2 linked regions of the Saccharomyces cerevisiae S288C genome follow. The gene in region 2 interacts genetically with the main gene of each other region. Each region holds a gene or a part of one and is shown on either strand. Other genes may lie near its edges.

Region 1 (4,615 bases), on a different chromosome or scaffold from region 2:
TTTCGGTGTATCTATTATATTCTGTCCACCATTTGTCGTATTCTTCCTGACTAATGAAATATCCTTTCTTGCTAAATCCATATCTATCAAAATTCTCAGGATCTGCCATGATTAAGCTGGTAAACGCCTTTGCTTTTTCAAGCTCACGTGTTGTCAATATTTCTTTTCGTTCTACTGTAGAACTATCATCCCCTTCATCGTCGTCATCGTATAAATCAAGAACGCTATAATTGGCATCGTCTTCGTTGAATGACGAAACTGTGTCAAAAACACTTTCGTTCGGTACCAAGGCGGCTTCTGTCGACATAGTTGATGACATTATCATCCTGTCATGCCGGGTTTTGCCTTCTGTGATTGTAAAAGTGTGCGAGTCTTCCTCGATTTTGAATTACTTCGGTGCCAAATGTACAAAATACTATCCTAACTTTTCAAAAATAGTTTATTCTTATAAAATCATCCGTAAAATGATTAACTGTCCCCGCTAAAAGCGTTTGTAAGCTCAGTTCATAGATATGTCTTCCATCCGTAAATCCGCCTAACGAATAGCAACACATTCTTTTTCCTTTTACATTTTCTATTGACATAACGCGAAGCAAACGTATCATTGTTGTTTTTTTTCTATAAATAATCAAAAAGAGTAATTGTTTTAGATGAAATAAAAATGCGATTAAAATATGAATCATACATACGTATATACATATATATATATATTGTTTCTCCTAAATAAAAAAAAGCTAAATTTCAATGCCACTTTAAGGATACTTTGAGCTGCTCAGGGCTGCATGCCATTGACAAAAATTCAAACGTTAGTAGTTTTCTCACGGATGCTCTTGATTCGACATTCACTTGCAAACAGGCATCTAAGAATTGTTTGGTTTGCTTGGACACTGACTCTGGATGACGCAATTTTGGTGAACCGTTGTTAGCTATCAGATACAGCGCCTTCAAAGGATCCTCATTTAGGTAAGGCGGTTCACCTTCTATCATCTCAATAAGCATTATCCCTAGAGACCAAACGTCGACTTTTTCATCATATCCCTTTTGATTCACTATTTCAGGTGCCATCCAATATGGAGTACCTACCATTGTGGCACGCTTGCTTCTTTTTTCTGTTAATTCCACACAAAAACCGAAGTCTGTAATTTTCACTAACCCTTGGGAATTCAGAAGGATATTATCAGATTTGATATCTCGATGGATAATTTTCTTGTTATGCAAAAACTTCAAACCTTGGCACGTCTCTTTTACTATATATGCCATTTGGTTTTCGTTTAACGGCGATGAGTGCTCACCGGTATTGCTCCTTGCTACAGCATCCAATATATCTGTTAAGCAGCCACCTTCCATGTACTCCATTATCACCCATAACTCTTCGTCATCAATAATATAGGCTTCAAGGAAATTAACGATATTTTCTTGGCGCGAATCATTCATCACTAGGAGTTCATTCATAATCAATTGTTTCTTTGGTTGTTCAGATAAACGTATCTGCTTAATGGCCACTCTTTCGCCTACGACTCGGTGGCAATGTGATTTCAAGAATCTCGGGTCATTTTCTTGAGGTAATTTTATTCGCTTTGACAGGTATACTGCACCACTTGCTCCTTGACCAGCCTTTTCTACCAGTTGGAAATACGGTCTTGGGTTTACATCAATTGCAACAGTTTTCATCTTCATTATTATTTCATTCGAATCATCATTATTCTTAAGTTCAAGGAGATCCTCCTTATGCCATTTAGTTTTACTATCATGATTTTTTGTAGCAGGTGCAGATGGTGCTAGTCGATGAGGTCTAAATGTTGAATTATTATCATGCCTTCGCAGATGGCTTTGAATGACTTTCTGTTCCTTCTTTCCTAACTGCTTTGTCTGGGAATCTGCCGTGCTTTCTTTACTAACATGCACCCTGCCTTCTTCGCGTACTTTATTGTCCTCTATGTTGGTAAACTTATAATCATCATCACTAGGCCTTGGGAATGGTTTAAGTTCTGATTGATAGACGGGTAAAATGGAATCTGTTTTGCCTTTTCGGAGCGTCCTACTTACTGATCTCTTGATGGAATTAGTCCTCTTGTTTATAATATACCTTGTCGGACTTTTTAAAGGTTTCAAGTCTAAGCTTGTGTTGAGGTGATCATTGAATTGCATTGTGTCCAGTCCATTGTAATCTTCATAAAATTGCAGTGCTTTAATAACAGCTTTTGAGTTTCTGTTCCAATCGTCGTACGTAATTTCTGAGGTTTGTAGTAGTTTAGCCCAACTATCAGGTACTCCAACAAAGTTTCCCACTTTTGGGTCGAACCCAACGTGTACTTTGTGTGTAAAATTTGTTGGTGATGAAACACCACTAAGGAGAGGACATTTGGCAAAAATGGCATCAAGCCAGCCATGCAAATCCCGTTCGGTTCTTGTGGAAATGAATATCGATCTTTTGGAATTTGATTCATAAAAGTAGGAGTTTATGGGGGATATGTTCTCTTTTTGATCTGTTGCCCGAAGAATCTCAAAACAATTTTGTTTCAATTGTATTCTGCTAACATTTGTTATACTAGTCAAAGGCACAGATAAGACTGGTTCCTCATTGCACTTATCACTTTTGTAAAATGCTAAATACGAATCATTCAGTACCAAGTATCTCTTTTGCCATAAGAACGAAAACAATCCATCAACTTTATAAGATATCCATCCTTCCTTTTTTACGCCCTTCATCGAAAGATATTCTTTCGTTTTGTCTGATTGTCCTCGAGTATAGCTCTACAAAAATTGTACTTATCGTCTGATCCATTGAGAAAACCAGGTGTAGGTCTTCATAAAGCGAATATTTATTCACTTACCACTGGGGACCTCCCCACAGAACTTGATTAGATGAATCTGCGTCCTGTTCCTTCATTCTTTTTTTAGTTTACAACAAACCATAACACCCGTGATGACAACAACAGGAATTATCGCAAATCAATCTTTTACCAGATCTGGAAGCGGATAGTCAACATTTCGTGTCTTCCAAGGGGCTGACGAAATCAAGCGTATACGGTAAAAAAAAACAACAGAATCCTTAACATTACTGTTTGCCTTTCAGTAAATTGAAGGGAAACACGCCAAGAAATATCATATGACAACATTGATGGGAAAGTTTAAACTTACTGGGCGCTCCCCTCTGTTTGTACTTCAACCAATGTTGCACTGCAAGAAACAACAGTTCGTTGAAGAGGCAGTCAGATTGATTAGTAATAAAAAGATCGGAAAGAAATCTGACTTCGTCCAGGCAAGAAACTGGGTAGGAGCACTTAACGTAACGGGCTTGCCCTTAAATCAATTTATTTTACGTTACGATAGAGCCAGCGGGCCAGGAGGCCAAAACGTTAATAAGGTAAATAGTAAATGTACTTTGACACTTTCTGGTTTATCAAACTGTGCTTGGATTCCTCAGGAAGTGAGAAACATCTTAAGTAGCGGCAGGTTTCGATACTACGCTAAGGGCAGCGATTCTATAGTAATTCAATCTGATGAAACTAGGTCAAGGGAAACCAACAAATTAAAATGCTTCGAGAAGTTGGTTCAAGAAATTCGGCAAACGTGCCAATTTCCTAATGATACCACTGCTGAGACCTCAAAGAAATGGAATAAAATAAAAGAGAAAGCCAACAAAGAGCGACTTCTTGACAAAAAAGTTCACAGCGATAAAAAGAAAAACAGAAGTAAAATTAAATTCAATTATTAATACATAATACGCATATTTAAACACACATTCTATCCAGGTACACAGTGATGTACAGTTCAGTGCATCATTTAAACAAAAAGGCACATATTAAAGGGTATAAGGATTATATCCATCTTCATCATCATCTTCGCTAGAGACAGTGATATATGTCTCTCCACTATTTCTCTTGGCCGGTTCACTTTCAGGTTTTTCTTCTATTTTAGCCTTCTTAGCAGGTGGGTTCGTTATTTCATAATCATCATCTGTTGTGGTAGCGGTGGCTGTGGAGGTAACTGTATCTTCGGCAAAATCTTCATCATGAATTATTCTGCTACGTTTCTTGTGATAGTTTTCATTTTCAATAATAGCCTTATTCAGTACTAGACCTCTTTCATCCTTGAAATCTCTTGCCTTTCCACGATATTTGATCACGTTTCCCAATATACTTTTCCCCAATCGATCCTTAAAAGTTGCTGAATGTAATTCAAAACATCTATTCGTCAACAGATCAAAAGCACCAGCAAATGCCTTTTTAATATCTCGAATGTTAAAGGACCCTCGACTGATGTTATTTGATTCATCACCTGGATCTTGAATGGCCAATGAAAATGGATTTTTAATAGGCTGAATAGCACTCCATGTCGATTTTGGAAAGTATACTGGATATCCATCCGATGATCCCAGTGCAACATCATCATAACCAAAATTTTTCCCATAAAGTTCAAAAAACTCTATCAGGAGCACACCCAAGTTGTCCTTTGGATCTATTTCGTTAGTTATTATACGTGGGTGCATATGCAAAAAGGAAAAGACAAGACATATAATACTAAACCCACCAAGACCACCGGTATGCACATTATTTAGTCTTCTTGCGTGTAGGAATTGTTTTACGATAAGGACTAATTCTCTCAGGCCGGG
Region 2 (4,079 bases):
GGAATGATTAGTAGTTTGGCAGAATTTATAGCAAGTATTAAATAGTTGAATACCTCAATATTCTCCATAATAAACGCCATATCGTACATAAAGGCTAAAACAAGAATGCCTGATACCGTTCTGCTTTTTGTTTTATCTTTCCCTATATTTTCTTTCCCTTTTGATGCTTTACGTAATTTTTCCCGGCATATGTGAGCTTCCTAATAGACTCTATTTTTATTTTTCCCTTTCAAAGTGCGAGAGAAATACACACAACCAGCCTACGCTTATTTTCACCCATACCGTCATACGCCATATGATATATAATGTGAAACAAACGCGGGGAAGAGCGCGACACGACAGCTTAGCAGGGGCATTCCACGCAACACCTGAAACTTTAAGTAAAACTGTTTCTGCGAGGATATCTTGGCAAAACAAACACTAACTTTCGAACTAAATATAGTGATCGTGGTCATAAATTAATAAAAAGAGGATAAATAGAGATAAAAGAGATATGTGACTAAGTTGCTGGCAATATGTATTATTTATACTTTTATCTTCTTGAAGCGTATTCAAAATTGCGTTTCGGTAAAGCTCTCACCAGATGTACTTAAAGTTTGGGATGAAGCACCGTTTTGGACAACTTTCATTAAGGAATCAACATATTCTGCACCAGACCATAGCTGGTGTGTCATGATATCACAATTAGTCTCCTTTTCCCGTTTTTGCACTTTTTCGACGTATGCTTTCATTCCGTCACTTTGGAAGCTATTGGCTAATTCCCAGAATGATACTCCATCTGAATGCAGACCGGCAAGGGAAACCAGTTGCAACGTGAAGCCTTCTTTTGCCAAGTCCCATACGAAGGATTTTAATGCCTTATCATCAAAGCCGTGAGCGCTCCAATTGAAACTAGGAGATAAGTTATATACTAGCTTGGTAGCTGGAAGTTGTTTATGAATTTTTCTTGAAAATGAGCGTGCCTGCTCCAGGTCAGGAGTTTTCGTTTCCAGCCAAATCATATCAGAATATGGGGCAAACACCAAAGATCTTCTAATAGCTGCTTCAATACAACCGTTAAACATGTAATATCCCTCTTTGGTCCTCGGAGCATCCCAGTCAAATATAATTTTCTTTAGTGGTGTCACTTCTTGAGCTAAAAGTTTCATTTCTCTTAAGCTTAGGTATGCTCTACCCAGCTTGTTTACCATAAGGTCTTCCTTCTTTTCTTTATAGCTTTCAAACTCGCTTGCCGTAAACTGCTTTTCTAAGGCCTCTTCAAATGTAAACAGCTCATTTTCATGGTACCATTCTTTTTCCATGTCAGCAATGGCGGAGTTGGGAATTTTTTTGTCCTCCATCTCAATCAATTTTTCGCTCCAAGGCACCACGTTATCTCTTATTATACCCCTAATGAATTCGTGGTCTCTCGGATCACTGCTTGAACTCAACAGCTTACCATTACAGGAATCTGTTCTTGCAATAACCAAATTTTCTGTCCCCATGATATCCCATTGAAACCTGGTGGAAATCAATCTCATAAGATGTGTTGCTGTGGGCACCAAAACAGCCCCACTTAGATGGCCACACCTTTTGCCTCCCACCATCTGATCTTCAAGATGAATACCAGCAGCCCCTTTCTCCGCAAACAACTTAGCAACTTTCATTACAGTCGTTGGGCCACCGTGACCCATGTCTGCGTCCGCGATAATTGGTTTTAAATAATCAACAGGAGTAGAACCTTTGATGGAGGCCTCCAAGAAAGCCTTTCGATCGTGCAATTGCTGCGCCTTGAATATTCTCTCCACTTGATTCGGCACAGTATCGTATGGATAATCGCCAAAATCCGGCGATACTTCATTTGTAGATCCAACTAATGTGGAAGAACAAGCCCAACCAGATATGTAAGCAACTTTGATATTTCTGCAACGGGCCAACTGACTCATTTGTACAGGATCGATAACTCCCAACGTGTGAAGTGGAGTACCATTCTTGAAATTCTCTTCTAGTAAGTTGAACAGCTTTCGAGCTTGATAAGATGAAGGATAAATTGAAGTATTAGCAGGAAGGCTGCCCCGATGCTTTACAACATCCGTAGCTGAGTATGGACGACTGATATTCTTAAATCTGGCTGATTCCCACCATTCTTCTACTTTACTTGATTCCGAGAACACGAAGTCTTTAGTACTGCTTGCCCCGTTGAAAGATCTTCGCAGTGACTTGTCTGATGACAAAACCAGCTTCTTCAGTGTTCCCGTAGTTTTTCTATTGAAAGTTTTGTTGTTAATCATTGTAATCATCGGCGAAATACTAGAAAAGTCGAAATCGATATTATTATCGGCGCTGTAGCTTCTTTAGGCCACTAGTACTTTTATAAGCTCTTCAACCGCAACAAAAGTTAAGAAATAAGAGAGTTATTCTTAAGCCCATTTTTTACATTATATAGTGTACGTATGATATCGCTAGCATGATGTTAGTGTTTCGGCGCTTCTAATTGAAGAGCATATCCTTTTCTTCTCCAATGCACTTTTATTTCTTTCCCCGCAAGCATATTCGGCCCGGATCTCGGACTTGGATCATTAACCTGAGGACAGCGGCTAGTAACCGCTGTCGCTCATATGGAAGGAGAAAATAAAAATTCAGGCATATACAATTATTTCGTCCTCTCTTCTCAGTTTAAGATCTTTAGTTACCGCATCTGCAACAGGATATTCGTTCAACTTGACCATCCCTTTCGTAGCCAAATTCAGTAAGGATAGGAAGGCACTGGCGGCTATCTGTCTGCTGACACCTCTTTCTACATCATCAAAGTTAGCTCCCGTTTGAGCTTCGCCCATGCGGCTTGGGATGATGTCAACCAACAGCATCTTTCTCTTGAAAGGCGGATTGGAGCGCGTTGTTCTTCCGACAACAATTGATCTTTCTTTGATGTAATCGTAGAATTTTTTAGTTTGATAATCCAGAATGACGTCTTGAAAATTTGTTTTGTCCTGCTGCAAATTTTGCTGAGAGCCATCAGAAAAACAACTGTTGCTGGAATCGTCTTCCTCGGCAAAATTCTGTTCAGATGGCCCGACTCTCCTTCTGAGAGCACCAACTATATCTTCATTGAAACCACTAGACCTGGTTGAGTTTCTGGTATGACTTCTTCCAAAACTTGAAGGAGGTAGATTCAAATTAAAATCTAGGATGTTACCTTGAGAGTTTTCTTCAATATAGTGCCCATCTTCCAAATCCTCATTAATTTGTTCAAGGTTTAAAAGTAAATTATCATTTTCCATATCGGAAGAATAATTATCGTTCTTATTATTGCGAAAACTTTTCCTACCATATTCGTGACTTCTGGTACTACTTGAGCTTTGGGTTGATACTAAAGAATGTGCTCTTTTTCTCCCTCTTTCAACTGAACTAAAACCTTGGGGATATAAGTCCCATTCGCTAGTCTTTATATTGGAAAAGTCGTTAAATATACTTAACCAATTTGTTGAAAAAAATTCTTCCTCACCACATGACCTTACCAAACTACTTATGTTAGAGGTGAGAAAATTTTGGCCGGTTAGTTTTCTAATCCTGTTTTTTTCCATTAAGTGACTGTAATTTCCATGGTTGAATTTGAGAACTTCATTTGGATAACTCGTTTTGGCATCAAATTGTACCTTAGAAAATTGCCCACCTACATCGGCGCGATGTCCTCTTTGCATTCTGGTGTTAAGTTTCTGTTGAAGATCGTTTTCTTCTTCAGAAGCCTGCGCTTCTAACCCCAATTCGTAGTCTTTGAGATTGGCTACCGGCCCTTCATTTTCAACTGATGTATCTTCTCCTCCATTACTGTTATTTTCATTATCGTTCTCAAAATTCAACACCAATTCATCTCCTTGATAATTAAACTTGAAATCGTTTCCATCCTTCTGTGAACTTGAGTGAGAGCCTAAAGGTGTCCCCTGATGGCTCACTATATCATCTAAGTCCAGGTTAAAGTCCACATCAACGGGAATTTCATCCAGCGGAAAAGAATTTCTAACGTTAGATCCTAGATTACTTTGCGCGTCTGAGTTAGTCATGTCCCCATGAAGCTCGAACCTGTTAGAATTACTTAACTC

What was found.
Region 1: mutations in ICL2 (region 2) and SKM1 together harm fitness more than expected from each alone (negative genetic interaction), as found in Saccharomyces cerevisiae (2 studies listed by BioGRID).

The regions. Positions count from the first base shown.
Region 1 is NC_001147.6:102,420-107,034, reverse strand, and holds SKM1 (putative serine/threonine protein kinase SKM1), read right to left. Parts: upstream 2,710-4,615; coding exon 742-2,709; downstream 1-741. Other genes in the region: Rab GTPase-activating protein MSB4, read right to left, coding at 1-325; PTH4 (Pth4p), read left to right, coding at 3,110-3,718; non-canonical poly(A) polymerase PAP2, read right to left, coding at 3,806-4,615. UniProt on the Saccharomyces cerevisiae protein: May be involved in cellular signaling or cytoskeletal functions. May play a role in morphogenetic control.
Region 2 is NC_001148.4:566,718-570,796, forward strand, and holds ICL2 (methylisocitrate lyase ICL2), read right to left. Parts: upstream 2,280-4,079; coding exon 552-2,279; downstream 1-551. Other genes in the region: REC8 (Rec8p), read right to left, coding at 2,619-4,079. UniProt on the Saccharomyces cerevisiae protein: Catalyzes the formation of pyruvate and succinate from 2-methylisocitrate during the metabolism of endogenous propionyl-CoA. Does not act on isocitrate.